Linked DNA regions of Lonchura striata. The protein of the gene in region 1 interacts with the protein of each later gene in a biochemical or structural test. Links are inferred from orthologs where the notes say so. Each region holds a gene or a part of one and is shown in the gene's direction. Other genes may lie near its edges.

Evidence for each region.
Region 2: the proteins of RAB5A (region 1) and APPL1 form a complex in vitro, tested with the Homo sapiens proteins (2 studies listed by BioGRID and IntAct, with this or other methods). The link is inferred for Lonchura striata from reciprocal best matches to the Homo sapiens genes RAB5A and APPL1.
Region 3: the proteins of RAB5A (region 1) and RBSN form a complex in vitro, tested with the Homo sapiens proteins (3 studies listed by BioGRID, with this or other methods). The link is inferred for Lonchura striata from reciprocal best matches to the Homo sapiens genes RAB5A and RBSN.
Region 4: the proteins of RAB5A (region 1) and OCRL form a complex in vitro, tested with the Homo sapiens proteins (2 studies listed by BioGRID and IntAct, with this or other methods). The link is inferred for Lonchura striata from reciprocal best matches to the Homo sapiens genes RAB5A and OCRL.

What each region holds. Positions count from the first base shown.
Region 1 is NC_134603.1:120,168,260-120,175,442, reverse strand, and holds the start of RAB5A (ras-related protein Rab-5A), read left to right. Parts: upstream 1-4,156; 5' UTR 4,157-4,236; intron 4,237-4,457; exon of another isoform or gene 4,458-4,693; intron 4,694-4,755; exon of another isoform or gene 4,756-4,816; intron 4,817-4,993; exon of another isoform or gene 4,994-5,014; intron 5,015-7,183. UniProt on the Homo sapiens protein: The small GTPases Rab are key regulators of intracellular membrane trafficking, from the formation of transport vesicles to their fusion with membranes.
Region 2 is NC_134614.1:12,167,021-12,174,583, forward strand, and holds the start of APPL1 (DCC-interacting protein 13-alpha), read left to right. Parts: upstream 1-4,487; 5' UTR 4,488-4,549; coding exon 4,550-4,603; intron 4,604-7,563. Other genes in the region: HESX1 (homeobox expressed in ES cells 1), read right to left, coding at 1-58. UniProt on the Homo sapiens protein: Multifunctional adapter protein that binds to various membrane receptors, nuclear factors and signaling proteins to regulate many processes, such as cell proliferation, immune response, endosomal trafficking and cell metabolism.
Region 3 is NC_134614.1:24,097,031-24,104,913, forward strand, and holds the start of RBSN (rabenosyn-5), read left to right. Parts: upstream 1-4,825; 5' UTR 4,826-4,924; intron 4,925-5,260; 5' UTR 5,261-5,326; coding exon 5,327-5,489; intron 5,490-6,746; coding exon 6,747-6,887; intron 6,888-7,883. UniProt on the Homo sapiens protein: Rab4/Rab5 effector protein acting in early endocytic membrane fusion and membrane trafficking of recycling endosomes. Required for endosome fusion either homotypically or with clathrin coated vesicles.
Region 4 is NC_134616.1:15,209,674-15,217,327, forward strand, and holds the start of OCRL (inositol polyphosphate 5-phosphatase OCRL), read left to right. Parts: upstream 1-4,644; 5' UTR 4,645-4,667; coding exon 4,668-4,700; intron 4,701-4,791; coding exon 4,792-4,871; intron 4,872-5,291; coding exon 5,292-5,371; intron 5,372-6,221; coding exon 6,222-6,260; intron 6,261-6,685; coding exon 6,686-6,796; intron 6,797-6,867; coding exon 6,868-6,951; intron 6,952-7,246; coding exon 7,247-7,367; intron 7,368-7,446; coding exon 7,447-7,608; intron 7,609-7,654. Other genes in the region: ERCC6L (DNA excision repair protein ERCC-6-like), read right to left, coding at 243-4,068, 4,227-4,282. UniProt on the Homo sapiens protein: Catalyzes the hydrolysis of the 5-position phosphate of phosphatidylinositol 4,5-bisphosphate (PtdIns(4,5)P2) and phosphatidylinositol-3,4,5-bisphosphate (PtdIns(3,4,5)P3), with the greatest catalytic activity towards PtdIns(4,5)P2.

The sequences.
Region 1 (7,183 bases):
TTTGCTGTAGACGTGGCTGCATCACACACCTAGTATGGAATATCCATGTCCACTTGGGAACTAAAGAAGCTCTCATAAAGTCTTAGTGTGTTCAGTTCTTTTCATATTTCAGTTATATTTGTTGTTGCCTGAAGTTTAGAGCATTTCTGCAAAATAAAACAATAATTTTTGGTAGTTTAATAAATAAAATTATTGGTTATGTCTTGTGATCCATTAATCTGTAAGGTTAAACTTCTATCTAGTAAAGTTGTCAGAAGGGAGATCTATGGAGAGGGAGAGCAAAGTACAGTAGTGTAAAAATTAGATGGTAATTATAGGGTACAGGAAACTGGGACTTTTTTATCCCAGAATAAAATTCAGGAAATGGAATTTTTGTGTTTGTTGTATTTCTAGATGGCTCTCTACCTGTGCTCAAGGTGGTACCATTTTTATACATTCTGTGCATTGCTGATTTATTTTTACCTTGTTTTTTCCCCAGCAGGTGGCCACACTTGCTAATTGAAATCATCCACTCAGCCCCAATGGAGTGGGTTGTGTTAAGGCATAAAAATAGGACTTGGATATGTAAAAAGAGTGCCTGTTGCAGAAACAAGTAGAGCCTATTTTTTTTTTTTTTTTTTGCCTCTATGCTTCTTTCCTTTTTTGCAGAAACATGGGTCCCTATAAATCAATTTGAAACCTACTGACAATATACATTCCTTCCTATAATTCCTCTCATTCTGGTATCAGTGTCATATCCATTCTTTCTTATACTGAAAGTTATTTTGGCCACAGAAAGAACATTTGTGGAGTAGGAAGGACTTGTAATTTTAAAGATAAGATGAAGCATTAACAAAAACCAATTGAACTCAATTTTATGGGAAAAAAAGATTAAAACTTTCTTTACTTAAGCATGAATTTGTCATCTCCTATGTCAAAAGTAGGATCTCTAGAGAAAGCTGTTTGGAAAAAGTTGAACAAAATTTTCCATTCCACAGCAGCACTTCTTTTCCTCAACAGTACTTGACATTTCACAAGTTTCTGACATCCAATTCCCACAAGCTCATGCATTTTTTTGTGTTGTTTAGGCTAAAACAGAGGAATGGAAACTGTCTAAACTCCTGCATTTTACTTTCTTTATGAAGCGCAAGCACCCCATGTTCTGCAACACAGCTCTCACTCTGACTATGGTGCTGGCCTAGACCAGAGTCAAAACACTAAGTTTGTAGGTTCCTGAAGGTCTCTGAAGGCCAGAGGAGTTCATGTAAAACACTCCAAATGTTGTGAAACATCTGAATTACATCAGCCATGCCAATGCACTTCACTGTTACTGCCTGGTTGCTTTCATAGTTTCTTATTCAATACATTTACAGATAGGAAATTACTGTTTTCTATGTGCTGCACGCTTTCTGTATGCAATACGCAAGCCAATATAAGTGCAGAGAAAATGTACACAAGTAGAGATAGGAGACTGAAAAAAAGAATGTCATAGGGAAAAAAAAGAGGGGGGGAAGTTCAAACACAATGAAGAGATTCTGCACATAAACTGCAGAGAAATGCTAAAATAGATGGAAAGCCACCTGGTGAAAACATAACCAACATAAATTTATTAATATCACCCAGCAGTTTCACTTTTGGAATGTGATATATGAACCATGATGAAATAAAATATGAAAACATGACCACAAGTAGGGGCTATCTGTGTGATTTCAGAGCTTTCCTTCAACATCTTTTTGTGCAGACTACAAGATAAGAAACTTGTCTTCACCACTAGAACCCACAGAGACCTGTCAAGCCTGAAATACAGTAGCTGGAACTTGGTCATTTGATTACTGCCACATTCTCTCATGCCTCTCTTTCACATATTTCACACATTCACAGTGAACCTTTGGTGTTTACTGTCCTACTCTGTCAGCATCAACCACATGAGAACAATTTAGGCATTTCACAAAGTGAGAAAGACATGCTACAGCTCTGCCCTGCAGTCAGAGAGTTAAGTTAGCCAGCAGGAACCTCCTGCATGCAAAACAGGCTTCCTAACAGCAATTATATCATGTGAATAGAATTCCTGCATAAAAAATTTCATTTAGCCTTGAGCTTCAGATACATCTGACAATCTGAAATATTATTTCAATTTTATGAATGGAATTCATATTAGAATTATTATTTATGTTAGAAGCATAGAAAATGATCCTTACATATAGAATAGTATGGTCCTTTATTTTATAGGATTAAGTGAAACACAAAATGTCATGTATGATGTGTTTAATCTCTAAATTGAATTTAGTTCAAGTTATTCTAAAGATTCAGTGTGATATTTTTCCACAAAAACTGTTCATGTATGTACTGTGTCTGGCTGAGGCAGAGTTCATTTTCTTCATAGCAGACTGAATGGTGCTGTGTTGTGGATTTGTGACTAAACTACTGTTGGTAACACAGCAGTACCTCAACTACTGCTGAACAGTGCTTGCACAGAGTAAGGACTTTCTCTTTTTCCCCACTTTGTCATCAGCCCCACCCAGGAAGAAATGCTGCTGATGGTCCAGAAATGTGGGAGTGGAATACAGCTAGGACAGCTGACCCAAATTGATCAAAGGGATATTCCATCTCACACAGCATTGCAATCAGCAATAGAAAATGGAGGTAGACAAAGGAGATTGTCTTCCAAGGTGGCTGCTGCTTGGAGACAGGCTGACACTGTCCTGCTTATGGGAGGTAGCCAGATATTTCCTTGCCTTTTAACTTCCACTTTCCTTCATCTATCACACTGTCTTTATCTTAACCCACAAGTTTTCCTGCTTTTGTTCTTTTGTTATGTTCTCTGTCTTACTGCAGGGAGGTGAATGAGGTGAGTGAGTAAGTGAGTGAGCGAGTGAGTGAGTGAGTTGAGTGAGTGGCTGCCAGGTTGACTGGATGCTGGTGCCTGGTGCTCCAATGCATGCATGTCAGGTGTGTAGTAAAACACATTTGGTTATCAGGAATCTGCTGTTTGCTCAGCAAATCCTGCAATCCAGTTGAACATATTGAGACCAGTCAATGGGTTATGGCAAATAAGCAGTGTACTAGGGCAGGATTACATGAGTTAAAGGACAACTCTTACAAACATTTAGGAAACTCACAGCTCAAAAAAGTTTGTATACTTTACTTAAACAAACATGTTTCTCTGGAGCTAGTCTGGCATTCTACATCACTGGTGAATGCAGACTATTTTACTTTTTTTGAAGTTACATATTGGCCTTTCACAATGCACTTACGTTAAGTGATTAACTTCAACTTAATAAAGGAGAAAGGGGAAATTGTTACTCTGAGACCAAACTGGTACCAGTGGAAAAGTGTATGGAAAAGAAGAACTGATGAAGACTAAAAAAACAATCTGTTTTCATTCCATTCACTTCAGTATGTTCAAGTATTTATATGTGATACTAAGGAAGGGGAAAGCAGCGTAACACAAACCACAGGCTTTACCCAACTTGATTTTTGCTTCATTTAAATATATGTGGTTGAAATAAAAAATATATTTTGAGAATGCAACAATTTGATTATTTCCTGTGGTGGAGTATCTCAACAATCTTCATTAAATTGTATCAATTACCAAATACCATTATTGATACACTTTCTAAATGTCTTACAAGTTGGTTTGTTTCTTTCTTTCTTTAAAATGCCAACTCTTAGACCTTGTTAAAGCTGCTATACTGAAGAAATGCTTATCATTATTGTTGTTTCCACTACAACCCACTTACAGCTTGTGGCCAAGTGGCCTTTATGCTGCTTTCTCACAAGGTCATGCTTTGTGCTATGAAGCAGTCAAGACTTGTTCTGGGCTTTATCAGAGACTGCTCAAAAAAGGTAAATTCCCGATGGCAATGCAGGTTTTCCTATGTAGTTCCTCCTTTCAATTCATTTGACTAATAGCTTTGGAAACTGGTTCTTTGAGAGGATTAAACCAGGACTTGTCTGTGTGCGTGATACCCAGCTCCCATCCCGCGCTCCTCAGTGGCCTCCTCAGGCTGCAGTGCACCCCCTGAAGCATCGGCAGAAACTCACGGAATAGTTCGGGGTGGCAGAAACTCACGGAATAGTTTGGGGTGGGAGGGACCTTAAAGATCCTCCAGTCCCAACTCCCCTGCCTTGAGCCGGGACACCTCCTACTCCAGCAGGTTGCTCAGAGCCCCACCCAGCCTGGCCTTGGAAACTGTCAGGGATGGGGCGTCCTGCATTTGTCTGAGCAACCCGCTCCAGTGCCTCACCACCCCCACCGTAAGTGGAAGATGGAGGAGGCGCGGGTCGCTCCCAGGGACTCTTCCCGCAGCGCTGGGGAGAAGCGGGAGACAGGGAACACCCTACAGCCGAGTGCGGCTCGGCCGGGAGCGGGAACAAAGGGAGGAGGGAGAGGTGGGAAGGGAAGGGAGCCACGTGACGCGTGGCGCGGGCGCACCGGAAGGGCACGGCGCGTGCGGGCGTGACGTGGCGGCGGCGGAAGTGCGTGCTGTGTGTGTGTGAGCGTGTTTTGGTCGGGGCAGAGGCGGCGGCGGAAGTCGGCGGCGGGGCTGGGTGAGGCACGGCTGCGCCCCCGCCCCTCGCCCCCACCGAGGAGCCGCCTCCCCTCTTACCCCTCCTCCGCCCACCCTGCTCCGGCGCGCCCGCCGGCCCCGACCGACGCGCCCGACGGACGGACGCCGCTGCGCCGCCGCCCCGGCTCCCCCAGCCCGGCCAGGTGAGGAGGCGGAGGCGGCGCGGGGGGGCTCCGGCGGCGGCGAGACGCGCCTCGTCCGGGCTCCTGCCGGCAGCCGCTCCCCCGGCGCTGCGGGAGCGCCGTGCCGCGGTACGGGTGGCCGAGGTGGGCAGCGCGGCGTGCGGAGCGGGGACGCTGCTCTCTCCTTTCCCGGCTCAAAATGGCGCCCCCGGTTTTCCCACTTCCCCTTATTCCTGCGCCTGGAAGGGAGCCGCGGGGGAGGGGAGGTGGCGGCGGGGGATGGAGGGGCTGGGCCCGGGAGAGCGGGGATCCTCCCCTATGTGCGGGCGCTCCTGCGGAGAGGTATCGCTGTCTGGGGCCGGCCCTCAGGGCTGTGCCCCTCGAGTTGCTTGTGAGATATGGAAGGGGAGGTTGGGTGGTGGGTCCCTCGCTTTCCCTTTCGCTTGCGTCTGGAAGAAGGACGGTGAACTAGGTGGGAAGTAAAATGCTCCCGAAAATGCGTCGCCATCGGGGGGATCGCAACAGGCCTAGTATGCTGGGTATCTTCTGCATCGCACGCAATTGGAACTAGACAAAGCTGGGGTAGGGTGGAGGACCAAACCTAAGCTTTTTGTGCTTTAGAGAAGAGCTGAATTGCATGAGAAGTATCAAAATGTTCCAAACGGGGCCATGAAAGGCTGTTCGCTCGGCATTTGTAATGATTTTTTTTCTACCTTATACCTCTTTAAGAGCTTGAGGATGGTAACGAGAGGCTAAACAGCAAATTAAGCAGCTGAAATTAATACATTTCTTTCATATAACATTCAAGCAAAGTAAAAATCGTAGTATTTTTTATTTTTTCCAGTTTTATAGTGTCTGTTCAGAATTACAGTCATGCTTACCTACAGATTGCTTGTAGATATTGTTCTTCCATAATGAGAAATGTCAGGAAGAGGTAGATGTTGGCTGAAGTGAGGTAACTAGAGACAATGGTATTGTAGTCATCACTTACATTTCCTGTATGATAAACCAGTTTATCTGAAAGCAATTGCTACCATTCATCATTCAGATGAGCTTTTGAGATGGCTAATACCTTTAATTGTAGGGCTGTGATTTTTTTGCAGCAACTGTGTTGATGCACTTGTTTAACTTAGTCTCATTATGTTTCTATGTAAACTGGCTTACATATTGCAAGCATTTTGCTGGTTGTCCCTGTCACTGTCTTGAACACTACAGTAAGGTATCACACTAATTCTGCTGAACCTAGAAGAAAAATTCAGTTAGTAGGACTGGCTAATGCATAAGGCTTTTTACTTACTGACTTTTAAAACATTCAAGAAAGTCCAGTATAAAAAAATTTAAAGTAGATAATAGTTGCAGCCTCACCATTGTATGCTTTATGTCTGTTAATGCAGCATACAAAAGTTTAGCAGTAAGAACAGTGTTGTTTGCTATGGCATATAAAAGTGGTGGAATGTTCCAGTTTTAAATTTATCATGAATTTTTTCCTGTGGCCTTTCTATTTGATAATATGTTTAATCACATTAGTTGTAGGAACAGTACTCACTGTCTTAATCTCTTCTGGCTGGCTTTTGTCACCAGTGTTACTTTGATACTTCTTATTAGCTGTCTTGTAGTTGAAATAGTCCAGTGCTTAAGCTTGCATGACTGAATTATGCCATTAAATTGAGGGTTTGTGGGTATTGGCTGGGGCTGTTCGTATTTTGTACAGAGGCTCAAGCATAATAAGATTTGTGTTTGATCTGTTAAAATACTTAGTACTCTTTCATAAATAAAACTCAGACTGTCCAACAGCATACAAATTTCTCTTCTGGAGTGAGGAGAATATGCAGCATACAGTAAATTAGTTGGTGGGATTATGAGGAGTACTTAGCTCATAATATACTCCAGGCTTTGTGTTCTGGCATTTCAGCATGGACCTGCTCAGTCATGGGGGGGATATTCAGAAGAGTGAAAGTTCCTACTTAGCATAGTGACCTATGTATTTATACCGCCCAAGACTGCAAAATGGAGTTTTTATGTTAAACTCTATAAAAGTAAGAAAATCTCCCTCATTTCCATCCATCTGAAGCCATCTGTCTCAAAAAATTTTATATTTGTTGGACAATACCCTTTTCCTGACCTGGAGTTGGGGCAACTGAGAGGCATTTTAAAAACCTTTATTCCATTTTCAGTCTCATGAGAACGGTGAGGCAATACAGTTATTATAATTCACACCATCACAATCAGAAGCTATTTCCTAATTATAATAGACCATAAGTGTTTCTTGGCCTATCAGCTTTTTGTCACGCCATGCTGTAGATGCCTTAAAGCCAATCATCTAAAACTACCCCTCGTGCATCCCAATACAGTGCATCTTTCATAGTTCTGTTTCTCCAAAGTAAACCCTTCTGTCAATCCCTAAGAAATCTCTACAAATCCATTTCCCACATAAAGTATTTTCTTTAGCAGATTTTTATACTAGTAGATCACTTCCATAACTCCCATATGTATCTGTTTAAGAGCTGTTTC
Region 2 (7,563 bases), on another chromosome or scaffold:
CCGCCGTGGTGGCAGCACACAGCGAGGGACCGGCCATGCCTTCGCCCTCAGCCAGCATAGCAGGAGTACTGTACTTGCATTTCTCCACAAGTCCTCCTTATAGCCATGTTGACAAGGGGGTTGGATTTGTAACGTCATTAATTAAAATCTTTTATTAGAAAGTTTTAGCATGTCAATGAAAACTCTCCCACCAAGAGGCACGAGGAGTTAATTGTTTATTTGTTTGCAAGTAATTAGCAACTAATGGTGACACTAGGGGGGCCACCAAGGGGGACAAAGAGTGTTATCTCTCCTAACCAGAGCATCGACTTCACTTTCTCAAAAGAAGCTGTGCACAAATATAGTACTTCTCTTTTATTTGAAATCATTAATGTATAAAATCAGTTTTTTAAAAAACTTTATACTCTAATGGACTCCACTTACCTAAGCATAGAAGCATGATAGGAAACCAGTCAAGTAATAAGTAATCTTATTTAAGTGAATTTCCTTCCAAGGAAATTTAAAAAATAATCTCTTAATGCTATTAGGGTAATCCCGATGAAAATGCCTCTGTTTTTTCATATGCATATGTAATGGTGAACGTGGTCAATAAAACAACAATAGCTTTTGGCATAAGGCACTGTGCAGTGGGTTGGCAGTGTTGTCAAAGCTCAGTGTAATTGCCTTCCAAGTGCCTGGATTAGTTAATAGGAACAGTTGCACCAACTATTTTAAATAATTCATGCATTCATTTTTCTTATTAAAATAACTTTGTTGCAGCCTTTTTGAAACATAGCAGATATGAAATTTCCTGATAATTCTTCACTACATAAAGGCAAAGTTTCAAGTAATAGAAGTAGTACACTCAAATTTACAGGTTTAGAAGCATGCTTTTTCTCATTGATGTCTCTCCCTTCTTGTAGGTTTATAGCAAACAGAAGCATATTTAAATCGTACGGAGCCAACACTTAAAATCATAAAAACAATTATGAGTAATGGGAAGAAAGGAGATAAAGTCTTTGCAATGAAATCTGACAGAATTCTGATTTCATCCATTATAATAAAATACAGACTATAACATTTTTATATTCAAGCTCAACTGTCAGTCACACAGCAGTTTACATCACATGCTCTAAACCAGCTTTTGGTTCAGGACAAGAAAAGGAGGAATTTCTGTAGAGACACTATAAAATCAAGATTTGTCCAAAAGTAACAGGCAAAAATGAAAACAATATTTTTATTTTGGGAGGAAAAGTAACCCCACCTTCTGGCCTGACTTTGTGTTGTGCAGGAAGATTGTTGTCAAACTGAACTATTAAAAGAGTGACAACTCCAGAAGTGATCTTACCAAGGACACTTCTCACACATATCAATGGATCTTGAAGCAGCATGCATCCGCCTGCAATCTTCGCTTGCAAGATGAGCTCCAGTCACCATTTATGGACCTTAAGCCTTCTCTTGGAAACTGTATTTCATTGTTTGGCCCATTAGTATTGACCAATACTACCTTGCAACCCATTTGAAATTACCTATAGACTTTAACTAAATACCTTGGTAGGGGTAATTAGAGCAACACAGCAAACATTAAGTTGGGAATCCTAAGTAATCAATAATAGGAAAACGCACTGCTCCTTTGGATATGCAAATCCAATCCTCTTACAGCATCACATACTTGATGAGGCAGGAAACTAATCTCCCTTTCAGACTCTGCACCACTGTTTTTCACCCAGGGACAGTGGAGTTCATCTCTTTAGGAGAAGGAGTCTCGTTCTCCAGAGATGGGAAGCCTCCACCAGCTGTTTACTCCAGCTGAGGAAACCACACCAGTGCTCTTGGGGTTTTGGTCTGAAGGCCCAGTTCTTACTCTTGCTGCTTTTTGCTCTTCTCACCACTGCTACTGCACTGCTGGGTCACCTTTCCCTAGAGCTTGGGCAACATTTTCAGATTTTTAAAAGGGTATAAATGGTATATATTATCTTTCTTGATTACTTATCACACTCCAAAAATTCACTTTTCACCTCACCTTTCCCACAACCTCTTTACCCAGTATTTCACCACCTCAGAAGTCATGCTGCAATAAAGCTCTTTTTCAAATATGTTTTTAACACAAATAACAAGTATTATTTTCAAAGCCAACTTCAGAATTCCCAAGTTTTTTTAAAGCAAGAATACCTCAAAACAGTACACCAATTTTCACAAAACAAAGCAGTTAGCTATTTCTTGAAGTAAAAGCTACTTTGACACAGGAAGATTAAGTGAATGCAGCTAAATTCAAGGTTAATCCAAGGTTGCCACTAGCAAAAGTATAAGAAAGTGTGTTAAAAAGTGGGAAACGTTGCAAATAAAACCTACCTTATCCACAGAGCTACTTTCACCCTCCAGCAGAGGCAAAATGTTCTCCCCATAATGGCACACCTCTGGAATCCTCTGAAGACATGTTCACTGCTCTTCTCTCTGTTGACAAAGTGCCAAGTATTAATTCTCCATATTTTTAAGGCTTCTTAGAAGATATTTTGCAGAAAAAACAACAACAACAAAATATAACAACCAAAAACCAACAACTGCCCAAAAAAATCCCCAAACCAAACAAAAAACCCAACTCCACAAATCAAAAAGCCCAAACAATAAAAAACCCCACTCACACTAACAAAAGGTCTACAATGCTGAAAACGGTGTAACACTAAAACAACAATTAGAGGATGCAGAGGGATTCTTCAACTCATTACTCTTACATTTGTTGCAGTCAAATTTGTAGCTCAAGTAAAACTCTTGGATGCCACTCACAGCTGTAAATACACAAAGCGAACTAAACCAAACCCACTTAAAGTTACTACCTCCTGAATTCCACTGGGAAAATGATCTTACAGTACAAAACAAAGTAATTTCTTATTGCTGTAAAGACTGCTGTAAAGCTTGGTCACAAATTAACTGTCTCAAAACCAGAAAGCACAAATATATATACATCATGATATGTTAATGTCCATGACAGGACTTAGTCTGTTAAACACCTTGTAAGATAACACTGAATTATTACCCTTATTGACAGGGAAAGGGAGAGGTGCTGTGACTTGCTTCAGTCAGGTGAGTCACCAGCTGAGCTGGTAAATTAATTGACTGAACAGTATTGGAAATTTCTTTACTACTCCCTACAGGGAAAAACAAAGAACACAACAGCAAAAAAAAAAACAAAACAAAAAAACAACCAAAAACAAAACCACCCACCACCCCCTAAAAAACCCAAACCAACAAACAAACAAAAGCCACCTCAAAAATCTTTGTTTGCAATTTAACACACCCGTCCTGTCCTTTATCTGCTTTTAATGGTAAATCATAACCTGATACAACATAAAGAATGGTCTCATAGCAAGACTGCACCACAATAATTGATCATTTGCTCTGCTGAATGAATATACTTAATATGCTTTCTAATCTGGTCTTCACTAAATTCACCTGGCCCCAAAAAGGCAAAACCAGCAAGGGAATAGCCTTTTTTTTTTTTTTTTTTTTTTTTTTTTCTCCCGCCAGATAAGAACTATCATCAAGTCTACCAGGTCTTGCTCTCTAAAACTACCTGAAAAGGAGGTTGTAGCCAGATAGGGATCATTCTTTTCTCCCAGGTCCAAGAAGGGACGGGACCAGAGGAAACAGCCTCAAGTTGTGCCAGGAAATGTTTAGACTGGATATTGGGAACAGTTTCTCCATGGGCAGGGTGGCACTGAAAATCACCACTCCTGAAGTGTCCAGATGTGAGGATGTGGCACAGGCACGTGGTTTAGTGGTGAACACGGGCTCCTGGATTAAGGGTTGGACTCAATGATCTCAGGTCTTTTCTAACCTTAAGGATTCTACAATTCGAAGTAATTTCAGAGCTGAACCAGTTCCCAAGTCCAACCAATGATCTGTTTTGATTACAGTGAGCCCTCACAGTAGTTTTATGCATTTAAAATTTGCCACCAACCTATGGCACCACAACTATTCAGTCTAAGAGAGCAGAGATACTATTTTCTAACATCTAATCAGAATCTCTCCTGTCTCAGCTTAAGGCCTCTTGGCGTCTCACTGCAAGCACAGTAGAAGAGGATGGCGTCCACTTGGGGCCCATCCACATGGCGGGGATAAGAGGAGACTTGCCAAAAGGGGTGCTCCAAACAACATGGCAAGAGTGCCAAAGACGCTCCAGAACGGCAGGGACCCAACAGCGCTCCCTTGCTGTGGAGCGGCCCTCCAGGTAACTGTCTGTGGGAAGACGCCAGCAGCCCCCGGAGCACAGACAGGGCTGGGAGGACGCTTTGCTCGGCAGGCAGGACTTTAGTCCCGGCAGCCACCTCAGCGGAGGCGAGCCCCGACAGCCCCGGCCTGAGGGGCAGCGCGAGCGCCTCGCCCCCGCGCCTGCGCGCGAACGGGCAGGCTCGCCAGCCAATGGGGAAGCCGGGCGGGCCAACGGGGAAGCTGGGCGGGCCAATGGGGAAGCGGGACGCGCGGGGGGCGGGACGTCCGGCGCGCGGCGCGCGGGGGCGGGTCGGGGCTGGCGGGGGGAGCGCAGCCGCGGGCGCTCAGCGCGGTCGCCGCCATGCCCGGCATCGACAAACTGCCCATCGAGGAGACGCTGGAGGACAGCCCGCAGGTGAGACCGGCCCAGCGCAGGCCGTATCGGGGCCAGCGCTGCCTCCGTGTTGTTCCCGGCCCCGGGAGAGCCGGGAGGACGGGTGACGCCCCAGCTGCCGCCCGGCCCCGCGGGGCTCCGGCGGTCTCGGCTCGGGCTTTCCGCCGCGGCCGCGTCCTGCGAGCGCCCGCTGAGCTCCCGGGAGAGCCGCGGGCCGGGGGCTGCGGGGCCGCGGCGCCTCTGGCCGGCAGCGGGGCTCCGATCCCCACCCCCGCTTCACTCCCAGGCTCCGTTTCGGACACCTCGTGCCCACAAAACCCGTGTCGCCTTCTCAAAACGATCTTTCCTCGTTGTTTTTCGCTAAGGCGCGTTAAGGTTTAATGGAGCCGCGTGAGAAGCGGTTCTGGGTGAGGCTGTCGCGGCGGTGGGAAGCGCACGGTGCCCGGAGGCCTCTCCTGCTCCGATTCTTCTCTTGCGTAGCTGCTGCCTGATCTGTGTCAGCGATGCTCTCTAGCACTGGAGTTTCTTTCTAAAGTAGGAAATGCTTTATTCAGTGGCTCTGGTTTCTCTTGTTGGCAGCAGCAACAGCAGGTCCTTGTGCTGTGCTTCTTAGATGTGGGGAAAAGTTTGCAATGTGTTTTCTTTTATGGCAGCCTTTTGAATTAAGATCCTTGTTGTGGTGCATGGTTTACGTTGTGAGCAGGGTGTCCTTTATTGCAATAGCATATGCATTGGTAGTTTTAATTCCTTGCTCACAGGAAGAGAAACTTTCGCTTGTTAAGAAGGGAACTTTAGTCCCTAAAGTTAAAATTATTTTAACAATTCTCTATCAAGTGGAAGGATGACTTTAAAAAGGCAGGAGAAGGCCATGCACAAAAGGAGTCATTGATTTCCCAAGGACAGTGCCCCAGATAGCTCAAATGCTGAATATGAGATGAGATCTGGGTTCTGGTCCAGGGGCCAAACCTGCTGTCATCTCATGAAGAGGAAAAAATTTTGAAAGTCTTATAATAATACTGATTTTAAAAAATTATCTCTGGAAGGTCTTTTCTTAGTATGAGGAAGTCAGAACTATTCGTATTTATAGGAAATGTCAAATGTAACATGAATTTAGGACTATCTGAGAACATTTGGGAAGCACATGAGAAAATGTTACTTATTGGAATGCAGTTATAATTCTAGAATCTTCCATGTGAGGTTAGTTGTGATACAGACAAGCAAAGGCTAATTCAGCCCGTTGTGTTTGAGATGCTTAAATAATTGGATTTGTCAATATTGTTTTTTGTTTTAGGTAGAAAATTTACATATTTCAGTCAATTTAATATTTCAGATGAATTCTGGGAGCCGGGTTCTCTAGTAAGCGCTCAGTGATTTTCTGTTACATTAGTTAATTGCTATATTAACTAATTTGTTACATTAGTTAATTTCTGTTACTTTGAAGTCAACGTGGTGGAAATGGCAGCAAATGTTGCTTGAAGAAAGCAGAAGCCTCTCTAGAGGAGTTGCTATGACTTGAATACATTCATGCTGAATATTGCCAAGCCCATCAGCCTGGGTGATTGTTTAGTGCTGCACCATGGCCTGGAGTTGTTGTTTCAGACACTGACTGTAGGTATATAAACGCCATATCAAACTTATTCTGTGTCTGAGGGAGGGAAAGGCTTTTCAAAATGTCCAAACCCATTCATTTCCTGTTGTCACAGGATCAAAATCTAACCACTGTGCTTGTCAGGCCCAAACCAAACGCCAAGTTTACATAGTCTTTGCTATGCAAAACAGGGCAATTTACTTATTAACCTAGGACATGTATTACACAGGAAGTCAGTGTGTATTTGGAGAGTTTCTGCTCACACTGATTTGCGTTCCCGAAGCATTGCACAACAAACAAGCCAAAAGACTGGTAGCACAGGCTCTGTCTCCTGTCACCTGCAGTGCCCTCCAGCTGATGGCACAGACAGCTTAAAGCTGACTTCTAACGCGGGGTTTCATCGTGCAGCTTCTCCTGGTCCTTTCCTTGCTTGCTCACAAACACGGATTGAAAGACACTGAAAGAAAATGCCAAATGATGCAGAGTTTTACTAGAAATACAAGTGATCTGCTGTAACGTATTTACAGTTTCAGATTAATTTCTTTCCATTAGTATAATATGATATTGTTTTAACAGTTGAGCATCAATAACAGACATTTTTAAAGTAAAACATAAAATTTTTTTTTCCATGTTCAGTTTTAAAGAGTAAGCATAATCTAGAAACCTTACATAATACTCCTTTAAAATTACAAGCTTAGGTTTATTTATGTTCAGGTTTAAAGGTCATGAGTATATAATTCAATGGTTATAGTACCATGTAATTTTTCCTTTTGCATTCTTTCGTGTATGTCTACCTTAATGGCGCAGTCAAGGCTGTTAGGATGTCATATGTTGCCACACCTGGCAAAGATTTGAGTTCTCCACCTCTTTCCACTTCTTTTATAAATTAGAACCATCATTAAAGCTATTTATTGTGCTGATGATGTTTTTTAATGTTTAAATATCTTTTAGATGTTCTATAGCTTGACAGTAGTTGTGATACAGCCAGGTATTTAATAATGCAACTTAGATAAAAATATCTTATGTCAAAAGAATTGTTAAATAAATATACTTTATATGGGTTTAATATGTACTCTTTGATTATCATTAAAAGCAAAAAATCAGAAATAGCTGAAAAAGGCCTTCATGCTTCAAGGGGAGATGGACTAAAGATATCAGTAATTTCAAGACAGCCTAGAGTAGACTAAAAAATATAATTTCCAATTTCAAGTGTTTAACAATCATAGTTTGGGGGGAAAATCAATTATGTGCTTATGATTATTTAAATTTTCTTCCTGGACATAAATTTTAGTGTAATCCTAGAAACAAAGCATGGTCCTTTTGCTAAAACATTGCCAAAATATTTCCTTTGTGGCTCTTGCAAGCTCTGCTCCTACAGCCAAACATCCCAAGC
Region 3 (7,883 bases), on another chromosome or scaffold:
TTCCCCTTCTGCCAAGAACAGCATGAACACCTCTGCAGGGTAAGGAGGAAAGGCTGGATAGAGAGACCTTCAATAAAACCAGATGGGAAACTCCTTGAGAAAAATGAGCTAATGTACCTGCCTTAAGACTACTTTTAGACCTCTGTGTAGACATTTGTGCTTTGTTTCCTTGATGAAACCAATACAGCTTAAAAGTACTAAGAAGGAAACCAAGGAGAGGACATTTGTCAGATACCAGCCAATTGACCTTGTCTGCTTCCATGAGATGGAAGGAACACTGGCTGAAGGAGTGTTACTAGATCATGAATTGTATTAGTATGCTAGAGCAGGATACCTGTTTCTGATAGAGATGGGGCATGTCAGATACCAATACAATGGAATGATCCCAGACAAAAGGTGAAATCAGCTCTTGAACTTATTTCAGACACTGTGGATTAAACTGACAGCTGGTGATCCAGACAAGACAGCAGTATGTCACAGAAGGGTTGGCTGAAGTAACACCTTTCTCATAGCTAACATTTCCTGACTTTCTTCCTGTTCATATGCATTGGAAAGAGGGGGAATCTGGACTCATAGATTGCACAAATACTCCTACAAAATGGAATTCAGGTAAACGAGGATCCAACATGCCATAGCTAGTTCATTGCCATCTTCTCTCTATAGTGGAGGTAATTCATATGATGCAGCATAGACTGATTATTATAGGGAAAAATGTTAGGTTATAACTCAGACAACTAGGGGAAGTGATCTAAGAGTCTGCCTGAAATATGATTGCTGATTTAAAGTAATTTTCACAGAGAATCATATGTTTCCACCTTGAATTCCCTCTTGATTTTGAAGCTGGTACTGTGTAGAGTGTCTGAAGAAGCTTTGTGAAAAAACAAGAGGAAGAGGAGAAAAGTCAAGACAAATGAAAAATATAGTAAGAATTTATGAAGGGTTTTCTGAGCCAAAACAGTCAAGACAAAAAGTAATCTCTTTGAACAAGCAAGTGGTGCTGAAAAAGAGAGCAACAACAACCCTACAAAAAAAATCATAAATCATTCCCTGTCAAATACCAACTGGTGGGGGTATTCCACTTATTGCTTTTAGACATGCCATCTTCAAGAAGGGCATTGGTTGCTGCACAAGTCTGTAGACAAAAGAGAAGATGAGAGGCTAGAAGAGACAGCACCCAAATGTGGTGTACTTGACATTTGAAATGAGCCCTGAATGGAATCCAGACATCACAGTGTATGGCTCTTGCAGTTAAATCATTAAATTAAATGTAAATGCAAAGGAATTGTGAATCCTCCCGTCTCTCTTCTTTATAATTTACATACTTTATGTAAGTGCTGCCACTCCATGGCACTCAGGACCAATATGACAGATTATTCAGCAGTGTTAAGGGACCAAATAAACTTGAGATGATGACTGGCTTGCAGGTACCAAAGCAGTTAATCAACAAATCAGATAAAAGGGTCTCAATAAATAGTCAGCTGCTGCTCTTACAAACCATTTGGATTGATGAGATTGCAAACACAGTAAAAACCATGGATTTGGCATGGAAATGTAGCTTCTAGCCTGTCTACACAGACTAATTAAACAGATTTGTTATGTATCAAAATGTTTAGTATAAGTAACTTGAGTATATTGAATATATGAGCTTTGGTAAAATGAACAGCAACAATTTTAGTTCTCTGAACAAAATGAAAAATACAGGAAATTTTAGGCTAGATCCACCTAAACAAACAAACAAAAACATCTTCTCTGAAAAATTAAAATCAAAGATCATTAACATAATCAGTTGAGTTTTGTGCTATCCATTTCAATATTAGGAAATTTGAAATTAATTTAAAAAAAACTATCATTAAATTATGAAATTGAATTTAGGCAAATTTAGAAAACAACATTAAACTAAATTAAGTGACTATTTTGTTTAGGGAATATTTACAAAGAACATTCTGATTTTCCCAAGAACAGTCTGATTTTTCACTATGCTTACACTCTGTTTAGAAAGTCTATATTGAACTCAATGCTGTTAAATTTCAGGTATTTTAAACCATTTTTTCCACTATGTTTGTGAAAAACATCCCACTTGAATACCCTGAGAAGTAGACAGGCATCATTTGTATTTACCTCTCCTATACTGAGGTCCAATTCCATTATTAAACATTCCAAATTGTACTGAAGGTATTACAAGAAGTCAAAGAACACAGATGAACCCAACTGGAACATATTTCTTATTGAGCTGTGCCATGGCTACAGGGCTAACTGGGCCCCCCTTCTCAGCTGTATTCCGAAATTCAGCCCACTGAAATTTCTCCTCCTGGACATCAGTAGCAATTACCAATTTAGCAACAGACCAGGTCTTAAATTTCACAGTTAAGGGTTATCACACAAGCATATTTTACCACTTACTTTCTTACTGTTTGCAGAGGACCTTGACTGCATCAGAGGAGGAGTTACCTAACAAATACAGGGTTTGTCGGCTGAGCTTTTATATCCCAGTGCCAGGATGGGCAGTAAAGGTCTGATTTTGCTGCTGGAGAGAGTACTTCTGCACTACTGTTTGTTTGCATTCATTCCCTGTGAGCCATTACTGATACAATTGCAGTCTCAAAGAGAACCTGTAGAATTGCAGTAAGGTTTAATTTGTCCCCAAATACCTCTTCCTACTGTAACTAGCTGGATGAAGACAAATTAATTTTTGAAGCACTGTAAACTGAATCGTTTTAGACTGATCTGGATGTTTTCACTTTGCAGACACTCTCTGTATGGGAAGTGTGATGAGCCTGACCAAATAACAGCAGCCAAAGTCTTCTTGTTTACACCAGCAAAAACTAGATCATGCTCAACATCTGTTAAGAGACACAGAAGCTCAATTTTCCCTTTGGGAGCAAACTGATACCATTCCACATATCACTGCATCTGGCATAATTTTGTAGTATCAGTTCTCTAATTGTCTCCAAGATATTCACAGTAAGTCTAATACCCTCATAAAGACCCAAGTCATATTGAGCAGGTGCAGTCATTTCATGGGGAACATGTTTCTCAGGAAGGGATAAAGTCCACTTATATTCAGAAACAGGCAAACAAGTGGCATTTTTCTTTAAAAATGTAGAATGAAATTTCTCTTTTCAAGAGTGATTGACACCACATGGTGTTTTATCAGTACCTGAAAAAGATTAATTTGGTGAGATGTGTTCTCATATCTGTGGTCAAATGAAACATGCAAAGGAGCACAATTAAGTGAAGATACAGTGAAATGTTTGATTTCTTGTGCACACTCCAGCATGCCATCATCCTCCTCACAACTCACTGCAGGCAATCCTCACTGCATGGTTTGTATCCCAACAGGAGGCTACCACACTTCAATTGTTCTATTTACCATTTTAATTATCCTTAGCACTTTATTTTTGAAAAAGAGCAGTTACTGACGCTGTGGAGAGACAGGGTTGACCAAAGGGTTGCTGTTCTGTACAAGTTCGCTTTTCCTTACATACCTGATTTTTACTACCTGGGAACGGCAAGAGAGGATGGACTACCCGGGTCAGCAGGGCTCACAGTACACAGGCAGGAGAAAAACCTTTACAGCAAACGCCTGTAACGCACGGCCGAGGCCGCCACGGGCCCTCGGCTGCTCTCAGACGTGCTTGTTGCGCCATCTAGTGACTGCCACGTCTCCCATCCTTCACCCACCCCCTTTTCTGCCCGTTCCCTACACGCTCATGACAAATCGCGCGCATGTAACAGGAACCAGAAAACTGAAACACCAACAGAAACCTCCCTAAGAGCTCTGCGCCTACATGGCTCTTGCAGTTCTTCTAGAGACGTGTATCGCTGTAGCGTTCTTCCACTACTCAGTGAGTTACAGCTCACTGGCCTCAATTGAGGACAAAAGGAGCAAGGAACAACAAAGGCAGCTGGTGCCACTGTGTGGCACAGGTATGGCTCACCGCCAGGAAACTACCCGGCTCCAGCAAATCCAGGGGGATGACACCACAGCACGTGAATCATCGAAGACACTGAGCCTCAGGCTGCTTCTTTTCTTCCTCACCCCATCACGATCCGTGCTGAAAAGGTTTTAAAGGTCATAATATGGAAGGTAGAAGTGCAGGGCATGATGAGTCAAAGTCCACCTTTAATGGACAGGTCTCAAGTGTAAATAGCATCGCCACGTAAGAAAATCTCTGCCTCCAAGAGCTTTAATCCTAACACACGAAGCCGATGTGTGATTACACACTCCTATTGTTTCTATTTGATTGGGAGTGTGTGAGAGAAGGGACTGCTGCCAGCTCAGACTAAACAAAAGCTGGCATCAGAAAGGGGACACGAAAAATGCCCTGCCGTTGATTTACATAGCTCCTTGTCAGGAGGCAAGTAGTAGGATTCCTGGGCTTCTTTGTGGCTAAGTACGTCACCGGATGCTCTAGTTTGCAGTTTTGGGACACTTCCTTTAGGAACGTTCAGTAGGCTGGGAAAGGGAACGTTGAGCGTGTTGACATTGGCAACGGTGCTCCTCTTGAACGTGCCCAGCGATTAGGACACACAGCATAGACCCACCAGTGCTATGGGAACGGCCCCAGGGCACCGGGGAGGGACGCATGTCCCCTACGTGACAGCGCCGTCCCGTCCTGGAGGGGACTCTGTCACCGCAGCTCTGCGGGCTCGTTACCCCGGGCTACTGCGAGGCGGCTGGACACGGCGACCAGCGCCGGCCGCAGAGACGCCGCTGCCGCTGCCGCCTCCCAACCGCCAGCGGCAGCGCTGCGCTCGGCAGCCTCCCCGCGGCGTCGGACGAGCCCTCCTTCTCCCCGCCCTTTCCTCCCATCCATGGCTCATCCCTCGCCCCGCCCTCCGCCGCGCTCTGCCGCTCCCGGCAGCCGGGCCGGGCCGCGGCCGCCCTGTTTTGGAGATAGTCACCGGCCGCCCGGGCGCTGAGGTGAGGCGAGCCCTGCCCCAGGCTTTTCCCGGGCCGTCCCTGGGCTGCCGCTGGGCCACGGACCCTGAGGCAGCCGGGGCAGCCCTCAGCGGCCTCTCCCCAGGCGGGCGGATCGCCTCAAGCCCCGCTCATCTCCCTGCGCAGCCTCTCTCCTGCCCCGGGCGGGGCGGGGCCGGGCCGCGGAGGGACCGGGCGGGGAGGAACCGGGCGGGAAGCCCCTGGAGGAACCGGGCGGGGGCCCGGCGGGAAGCCCCTGGAGGGGCTCGCGCCCAGCCCGGGCCCTTCCCGCCGCATCCTGCGCCGCGGGTCACACGGCCCTGGCCTGGTTCGTTTCAGGGAGTGCCTAAGGACGATGCGGCCCCCGCATCCCTGCAGTCGGTGAGGGCAGCAGGCGAGGCCGCGATGGCGTCGGGCTGCCCGGCGGCCTTCGGGGACCCGACCGAAGTGCGCGAGGGCTTCCTGTGCCCGCTGTGCCTGAAGGATCTCCAGGCGTTCCGGCAGCTCCAGGCGCACTACGAGGAGCAGCACCCGGGCGAAGACCGGGACGTCAGGGCGCAACTCCGAAGTAAGGGCGGCCGCGGTAAATGCGTTCGGCTTGGCCGTGGGAAATCCCTGCTCGTACTTCGAGTGCTCCCAAATGTCTGACAATAATAAAATATCAATTGGAGGGACTTACAGGCGAGGTATGCAGTTCCATTCTTCCGTAAATCTCCTTGGGCCAAGCATAGTACTAACCTTCTCCCGATACTTCCCATAAATTATTCTAAAGTAGGCGCTAAAGAACATTGCTCTACAAATGTCTGCTTTTATGCACGAGTTTTACTGTTGATCTTTTAGGCTTTTTTGTTTGTTTTTACTTGAAAACTCAAAATTATACTAACCCAGTGAATACCCAAGATTTACTTGAAGACTGTGGAGAATATGGGGAATCTCTGGTACTTACCAGGTTCCAGTTCATTAATCTCTTGTTTTGACAGTAGATAAAGCTGTGGTTGCAGTTAAAGTGTGAAGTTAAGAAAGGTTGTTATTGGAAAAACATGGAAAAGCATGTGGGTGGTGGAACTAGCAGGAAGTGCTGGGAGTGTTCCATATCTGTTAGGGAGTTCCACCCTTCATTAGTATTTGGAAAATCTCTTTGAATTTTGTTTCACTAAGATATTTCCCTTTTTTTACCCCCCTTATGTATACAATGTCATTTTATATTGAGAGAAGAATGTTTAAAATGTTTAAAATCTGGCGATAATTCTCTATGTTTCCTGCAAACTCTGGTTTTAGTATGCTAGAAGTACTGGCCTCGCAGTCTTGATTTGTTTTTCTCTTGAGATAGACTTTTGAAGTACTAACCAATTTTCGTGGTGAAACCCTAACACTGGGCTGTTTAGTACTTGAAAAAGTCTTTATGTGTACAAGCACACTGAAATTGGTAGCTTGTGCAATAAAACAAGGAATGTGTTGGACGTCCTTGAATCTGAAGAAAATAATAGGGAATTTTGAGAATTAAGATAAAACTATATGATGCTTTGTGCAGTGAGATAGGTCCCATAGTTTAAGACATGTTGCTGTTTTACAGTGAAGTCTGACAATGGAATGTTTTAATCTACTGTCTTGTCCTTAGGACCTCATGCTGCTTTATGACAGACAGCAGAGAGCATTTTGTGTCATCTGTGTTGCTCTGAACTGCATTTTTGTTCTAAGAATGTTTTGAGGATAAATTTATCCAGAAGAAAGGTTTCTGCTAAAAGAAGATGAATATACTGGCTTCACATGACAAATATTTGGTGACTACCTGATATGTCAGATAACTTGGGTTTATTTTTTTCAGATCTAGTCCAGAAGGCCAAAAGAGCAAAGAAGAAATTGCTGAAACAAGATGATGACAGAACTGATTCTGGATCTCAGGAACGATATGAGTCATTCAGCTATGGTGGAGTAGATCCATACATGTGGGAGCCCCAGGAAGTAGGTAGGAGAACTGGAAAGCAATACACAGTGGGAATAAGTTTTGATCTGAATTGGGAAAGTGCTACAGTATTGCCTAAGTGGCTTGGAATTGTGTCTGTGTTCGCTAGCAGGGGGTTATGGTTTGCACACTTTCTTTGAGCAGCCGATCCCTTGGGTGGAGTGTGGGGAAAACACAGTTAATGGGGAGAAGAAAAGACATGTATAGAGTCGTTACCCGAACTACCCTTCAGGGAGCTGTTAATCATGTTATTGTTGCTGTCCTGCTGAGATCTGCTTAATCTGTGTTTACCTCTGTGCAACTAGCTTCATCTTGTCACTTTACAAAAAAGATAATCCACTCATTAAAAGTTATAAGTATATAAAATCTCTAGCTTTTGGGCTACACTTAAAGTAGTTGTTAGTTTGCATGTTTGACAAAAACATTATCTAACAATTTAAACTGTCAGCTTTTTCCTTGGATTTGAGGTGGCAATCACCTCTTATTAAAATGGGGTTTACTTAAAAAAAAAACAGATTAAAAAAACAAACAATAAACAAACTCCACTGCTCTGAATATAAATCTACATTTGTAGAGTTTCAAGGATAAGCTGTAAAGGATGAGCCTGTAATTACAAATACTGCTATTGGCAATTGCCTGTACTATGACTGAAATACTATGGTTATTTTTGGAGAAGGAATCTTTTGTGGATCCTGGGATAGTTTGCACTATGGTGCTGACAGACTAGGGACTAAGTCCTTTGGGTCTGCAGGGTCTGAGTTCTGTATATTTCTTTACTTTTGACTTTGTAACTATTTGAGCAGCAATCATAGTGTAAATATTAGCTAAGAATAAATTTAGGGAGAAGGTTTATGAACATTATAGAAGTGAGACTGCTCTCTGATGAGCATTGAGAAGATGAACCATAGGGATCTGGCATGTGATTTGATGGATCAGTGAAAGGGATTGTGTCTCCAAAGCAGTGGCTTAAATCAGTTACCCAGAGGGACTCTTCCACTA
Region 4 (7,654 bases), on another chromosome or scaffold:
TTTATTGAATAATTAGACAGGAACAGGAACCATTTTCACCTTTGTCAGTTGACTCCACAGAACACCCTCCCCAGGATCCAACACCTGGATGTCTGGGCTGTTTCCTCAAGCAGGAAGTGATGAATTTGCTCATTCCCATGAGTATAGGGCAGGCATCAGCCCGGAGCTGGCTCAGGGATCCCAGGGCCATGGTGCAGACCCACAAGGAACAGCCAGACTTTCTTCACAGAGCCACATACATGTCACTTCTGGGCCAGCTGTCGGTACAAGTTCAGAGTCAGCAGCATAACTTCAGGATCTCCACTTTTTATGTCAAGAGCTTGCAGGAAGCAGTCCAAAGCCTCCTGGAGTTTTCCATCATTCTGAAGCTTCTTCCCACTCTGTACCAAAGTGTCATAATCTGCAGCAGGAGAGGAATTCTGCCCAATGTCCTTTTCAGAGCTGCTTTGCTGGGTGAAGTAGTCAATCTGCTCATCTGACTGGAGCTCAGCGTCACCTGTGGATTCCTCCTGTGATGACTCTGCCTCGGACTGCTCAGATTCCACACTGTCTGTGTGAGAGGACTCTTCACTTGTATCAAGTGTTTCTCCATCAGGTTCTTCTTCAGGCTCAGCAGATTCCCCAGTGCACTCCTCAGCTTCATCTTCCACAAGCCCATCTTGCTCCTCCTCCTCCTCCTCCTCATCATCATCATCATCATCATCATCATCTTCTTCATCAGTGGTTCCCATGATTTCCCCAATGTCCTCCACCTCATCTACCAACCTGCTGATGAATGAGCGCCTGGAAGCATTAGACCTGTTTCCACTGTTATTTAATTGGGGAGAAAAGATGGCTTTAGCTCTTGTTGTGTCATATTTAGGGGTGGAAGCATTAATTCCTTCCAGACGTCCGTGCTGAATGCTATCCAAGGGAGAGGAGGGCACTTGTTCAGGCTGCTCTTCACTCTCACTGTCTGAAGAAATTCTGTTTAAGCGTTTCTTCCTACTAGAAATAAAGAGACCACTGCTTTCCTCCAATGATTTACTCTCTTGCAGGGAGGCATTTGGCTCTTCCTCAGCTGTGAGACAGGGTTTGCCATGGCTACTGGTCTCACTTGGCCAAGTTTTGTTTGGAGATTCTTTGTCTGGAGATTTACACAAGCTTTCTGCCTGGAGTTGTAAGCTCTCCTTCTCAGGGTGTTCCACTGATCCTCCTCTATTTGAGGCATCCTGCCATTCCTCTTCAGACTCTTCCAAAACCAGATTGAAGTCAACTTGATCCTGGAAAGAAGGAGCAGATGTAGCCTCTGAGCTGTCTTCTAGCACATGAGACTTGTAGAGCTCAGCATTGACTTCTGGTGTAGCATTTTTTAAACTCAGCACTGCAGAAGCCGGCTCAGGATCATTGTTCTGCTCTGTCCCCAGGGCACTGTGTGGGTCAAGTATCTGAACTGACAATTCTGCCTCACTTCTAGGATCAGCCATGCCAGACTGGGAGGAATTGTGACAATGCCAAGACAGGTCATTCCTTGTCTTGGCCGAGCTGTCTGAATGTACCTGCGAATGTTGTTTCTCTTGGAGGCTCTGACTCTCTTTCTCGAGTGCAGGGGATGATGGTATAATGTTAGATTCAGGATTTTGCTCAGATTCTTGTTCTGCTTGTTCTTGATCAGATTGTTCTGCTGTCTTGCTGGTATTGAGCACTTCTGTCTCCATACTGGACACACCTTGTGCCAGTTGCTCTTCATCCAAGTCACCAACAGTCAGAGTTGCCATTCTGGAGCTGACATCGAGCACCTGGGCTTCTTCGTCCTCTGTAAGATCAATAAATTTGTCTTTTTCTTGTGCATCAGCTACTGGTGGTGAAACAAAATTATTTTTGTCATTCAACCCTGGAGACAACTTCTTTGGCCTGGAAACTGATCCCGATGGTCTTTGCCACAACTCTTCACAAGTATTCCTGATCCCCTCCATCCTCTGATCTCTGAGCTGGGACTCCAGCTGGACCAGCTCATGGGCTTTCTGTACTCTCCGCTGGATGTACTGATGGGCTTCCTCGCTCTCCACCTGCTCCTCATGAGCCATCTCCCTTGTGTAGATCAGGTCGTGGTCAGAAATGCCAAACATTGCCAAGGAATGCAGGTAAGCAAGATGCTCATCCAGCTGCAGGTCAGACTTCCTTTGCATGGCGTGCAGGGACTGCAGCTGGATCTGAGTTGCAGATGTCCGAGTATCTTCCAATATGAAGAGCTCTCTTAGTTCCTGTTTGGAGAAATAACGGAACGGGTTCTTTTTGTCACCGGTGGTCTGTCTGATTAACGAGTCCTTGAATACCTGCCGCCTGTATATCTTCTCTTCCACGGTGCCGCAGGTGATCAGTCTGTAAATCACTACGTTCTCTTTTTGCCCAATTCTGTAAGCTCTGTCCACAGCCTGAGCATCAGTTGCTGGATTCCAGCTGGGATCAAAGATCACCACTCGGCTGGCCGCTGTCAAGGTTATGCCAACGCCCCCAACCTGTGTGGTGAGCAGGAAGACAGAGTAGGTGGTGTTGCTCTGGAAGGCGTTGATGCGCCTCTCCCGCTCCGTCAGGTGGGTCACCGTGCCGTCGATGCGCAGGATCTGGAACTGTCGGCGAGACAGGACGAACTCTATGATATCCAGCATCTTCCTCGACTGTGAGAACACCAGGGTTCGGTGTCCCTCTTCTCTCAGCCGCTCCAGCAGTCCCACAAGGAACTGCATCTTCCCAGACTCCTCGATCACAGTCTCATCAGAGAGATGATCTATTTTGTTCTTGCCTGCAAACATAACTGCTTCCATCCTGTAATCCTGCTCGGAGTCCTCCTCTTCCTCTTCCAAGCCCAGCTGGGTACAGGCTCTTGGAGACAGAAGCCTGGGGTGGTCACAGAGTTTCTTCAGGATTGTCAGCTCAGCCAAAGGTGATCGGTTCATCATCAGTACTTCCTTCACATGATCGAGGCAGAGAAAGTTCCTGTAGATTTCTTCCTGCACTGGTGCCAGGTACACCCACACGACAAAGTCATTTTTCCTAGTGAGAGATGGCATGACAGGAGCCTTGTTCTCACTTGGATCCTCAGAAAGAGTAGGATCAGCTTTATTGGTATGATAGTTTTTGATGTCTTCCTTGGTCCTTCTGAGGAAATAAGGCTTTATAATTGACATGAGATTCTCTGATATCTTTAGCCCCAGTGCTTTCTCACCTGGAGTCGCATCCTTCTCCCTCGCCCTGGTAATGGGATTCTCATACTCCATTTTAAAAGTTTTGGCAGTTCCCAGGAGGGAGCCTTGACAGGCAAAGTCAAACAAGGACCACAGTTCCCGGAGGTTGTTCTGCACAGGGGTGCCTGTAAGCAGGATGCGGTAGTGGGCCGGGATTGCATACACACACTTGGTTGTCTTGTTTGACGGGCACTTGATCTTATGTGCTTCATCAAGGATAATGTAGTCCCAGACAAACTCCTGCTCATGGCGGCTGGCCAGCTGCTTCCAATTGTTAATGAGCATCTGGTAGCTCGTGATGATGATGCCGTTCTTCCTCTGGACCCTTTCCAAGTTCCTGGTGCGCTCTGTCTTGCTGGTGCCATGGAACTCCTTGACGCGAAGGCCGGGGGTCCAGCGAGCAAACTCAGCCAGCCAGCTGCTGACCAGGGTGGTGGGCATGATGAGTAGGACGTGCTGGATGAGCTCGGCATCGAACATACCCGACAGGAAGGCAATCACCTGGATGGTCTTGCCCAGGCCCATGTCATCTGCCAGGATGCCGCCAGGCTTGCGCTCCCGGTGCAGGCGGTACAGGAAGGCAACACCTTCCCGCTGGTGCTGGAACAGCTTCCTGTGCATCTCCCCGTAGATCAGCAGGCCGCTGCCGCACACGTCCACGAAACCCTCATCATCCTCCTCCTCCTCCTGCTGCTGCTGCTCGGCCGCCGCCAGTGCCTCCTGCACCCGCCGCATGCGGTTCTGCAGCTTCTCGCTGGGGCGGATGGCAGCCGCCAGCCGGAACAGCCGCAGCGCCTCTTCAAGGTCCCCGTCGGCCGCCGCCGCCTTCGCGCTGGCCACGAGCCTGTGGGAGTCACCGTGAGCACCGGGTGGCCAGGCCCGGGCTGCACCCAGGAGTGCCGGCCCGGCCCGGCCCGCCAACGCCAACCCCGAACCCAACCCCAGCCCCAGCCCCAGCCCCAGCCCGCCCGCCCGCGGCCGCTCAGCCCCGTCGCCGCTCACCCCCGGTACCGCTCCTCTTCTGCCGCCGCCGCCTCTCGCGGCCCGGGAGCGGCCATGGCGCCAGCGCTGCCGCCCTGCGCTTCAAACCCGGCCCTTCCCGGCCTGCCCCGCGCCACATGTAAATCACCACCGCCCGCAGCCAATCAACGCCGGGGGCGGGCAAAGGGGCGGGGCCGAGCGCTGCCCGCGCCTCCTCGCGGGTCGGGGCAAACACCGGGACGAGCTCCGGTCCCGGCCGGTCCCTTTCCCGCCGCGCGGTGGGAAGCGAGGTGTGGGACATCCAGGGGGAGCCCGGCAGATCCACAAGTCCGCCCGCCCCCGGCGCACTCCCGGTCACGGGCGCGGGCGGCGGGACCTCCCGCCAGCAGGGGGCGCGGCGGCGGGCGGCGCGGCGCTCCGCGGCCGTGCGCAGCGCGGAGCCGGCGGAGGGCGAGCGCTGCCATGGAGGCGCGCGCCGCGGGCCGCGGCCTGCTCGTATCCACCGCGCGCGGCGGGCCGGGCGGGCGGGGGGCCGCGGTGGGGCGGGGCAGGCCGGTGACCGGAGGTTTTCTTAACTGCGGCCAAGAGCGTTGCTGGTGCGGAGGTGCGGGCCGGGCGGCGGGAGCCGTGCGTGCTCGGCCTGGAGCGGCGGGCCGGCCGCTACGGGTGAGTGAGTGCGAGCGCGGCGGGGCCCGGCTCGCCTCGCTCGGTGCCGCCGCGGCGGGGCTCGGTTCCGCGCCCAGCTGCCACAGCCGTGACTCTCGGCATCCCTGCGTGCTCCCCCGGCCGGTCCCCTCACCCCGCGGGACCGGCGCTCCGGAGGTGCCTTCCCGGCTCCCCGATGCTCCCCCGGTAACCAGAGCCGCTGCCAGCCCGGTGTTGGACCTGCCCCGTGGCAGCGAGAGTTCAGCAGCTCTTCCTTCTCCCCCGGGGTATCCGCGTCCTGCACGATCTCACCTTCGTTGCCTTTTTCAACTCCTGCCCCAGAAGCTTAGCGATAAAAATCAAACGTTGTGTCTCTGTACACACAGCTCCTGTTTGTGTGCGTTCCTGCCGGGTTTTTACAAGCCTTCCTTCTGTCTGCAGGGTGGTTATTCGCTCCCAGGAGAAAGAAAACTCTGATCCGGATTATATTCCCATCAACAGCCGTTTTAAGTGTGTGCAAGGTACTGACTGCTGGGGGGAAGGTCGAGAATCCCCTGCTGTTGATCCACAAACCTTAAATTTAATGGTGTTTCCTGACCTGTCTCCCGAGCCACAGCGGATTGAATCCTTTCTCTGTGAAGCAGCAAGTCACATTTTATGGCATCCCCTTGTTCCTCATTCAAGCAGGTTGTCATTCCATGTCAGCATGAACTTGTGAGGAACTTGGCTGGCTCCAGTGCGTGGTGTGCTTGGCATCACACAGAGCCAACACATGCAGCATCTGGTTTCAGGGTCTGGAATTTGCTGTCTGCTGGTGTCGGTCTCTCAGACTTCTCTGCTCTGCCGAGAGTTGGGAGCTGTTGCTTTATCCTGCATGTTTACATCTAAACTTCCTAAGGTCTACCAAGCTCTCAGCATCCCACGTGCTGAATGAGGAAGGGCTTTAGGCCTTGTTTTGGAAGAACTTAAATAGCAGCAAGTGGTCCTGGGGCAAATCTTTGTAAGGAGTAAAAGTCCTTTTTCCTGAATTTACTCATTCCCTTGTGTGCAGTTCAGGATGTTCTGCCCCTGATTTTGCTCTGTAGAGAAGCTCTGAAGTTCCTTGTCAAGTTGGTCTTTCCTGAAGTAGCTGCACTGATGGGGAAAAACCAGCCAGATGTATGAGAACTGTGTGGTGGGAATCTCCCTGCTGGGAGGTGACTGTCCAGGTTCTCTCTGCCAGAACCGTTAGGAATGTACAGATGTAAATTAGAGCTCTTTGTTCCTGTTAGGACTCTCTCATGGCTGGCAGCAGGCAGTGTAATTATATGAGTCTTCAATTACTGCAGCATCCAGCGTCAGCTCTACTGATCATGTTTTTCTCTTTTCTAGAGGCAGAAGAAACTCTGCTGATTGATATAGCTACAAACAGTAAGTTTCATAAGGGTAGTGGTGCAGCTAAAGGTCCTGTCATGGAACAGCCACTGGTGCTTGTTTTGCCTTCCAGTCTTCCCCCAGGCTCTGTGTTTGTCCTCTGCTCAAACAGGGATTGTTTTCCCTCTGACATTGTCATCTGGCTCTGTGAGACACTGGCTTGTCATGACAGACAAGGTTTGAAATGCAAATGGTCAAAATGTTTGCAGTTATTTTCCTGCTTTTAGAGCTCTTGTTTTCAAAATTGCAGTAGGGAGGATTCCTAAAGCCAGGATAATGTGCTGGGGATATCCCAAGCAGTGTGGGGGGACCTCAGAAGTGCAGGGAGGTGCAGGTTTCCAAAACAAACAACACCTGGAAGCTGGGTGGGAAGCCTGGGGGCTCTGAGGCAGCCTGGGCTGACTCAGTGAGTGTGTTTGAAGCAGGCTGCAAGGTCCGGATCCAGGGTGACGAGGCGCCGGAGCGGCTCTTTGAGATCCCTGACGAGGAGCGCTGCTTGGGATTCCTGTCAGAAGTGCAGAGCATACAGGAAGGTGAGCAGAGTCTCCCCTGTGCATGTGAAATCCTCTGCCAGCAGTGACTGACAGGGATGGATTTTTTCCAGCCCACCTGAAAGCATCTCTTCCTGAACCTAAGGACTCAGCCATTTGGCATCAGGTGGAGAAGAGCCTTACAGGTCTATCTCCAGGTACAGTTGACTTTGCTCCGGGGCCTGTGCAGTTCTGGGGTGCCAAGGGTGGGATCTGGGTCTGGCCATGCTTCCTTGTCTGTTAATTCCTTCCTGAGTGCTATTTTCACCCTTGGTTTGTGTATGTTGAGCTTCCTGCCTTGCCTTGTGGTTAGTGCCCCTTTCTCCCATTTCCAGGGTCACACAGTTGATGTATTCCTACTCTCGTTTGGTTTTTTGGTTACATTTTTTCCTTCTTGATCTGAGCTGTTTCAGATTGTTTCTCAGGGTGTTTTTCTTGGATTTTTCATTACAGGAGCTCTGGGGTTTGAGGATGACTTCAACACTCTGAGCCTAGAAGAGAAAAGAAACATGCAAAACCACCAGACGGGATCTCGACGGGAACCCCCACCTCCTCCTGTCCCTCAGAATAAGCAGTAAGGGATCTGTTCCCTTTTTTACTTTTCTTCCTAGACAGCAGAACTAGTTCTAGTGCTGCTCTTGCTTCCTTCCTAGATTTCACCGGGAGAGAGAAGGCACATCCAGAGACCAGCCCAAGGTGACCAACACGATGCGCAAGATCTTTTTGCCCAGCACACAGTCGGGGCAGAGAGAGGGGCTCATCAAACATGTGCTGGCCAAGAGGGAGAAGGCCTACATCAACCTGCACAACTTCAGGTGAGACCTGGGAGGGAAGGACAGAGCTGCAGGATCTCTCCTGTGA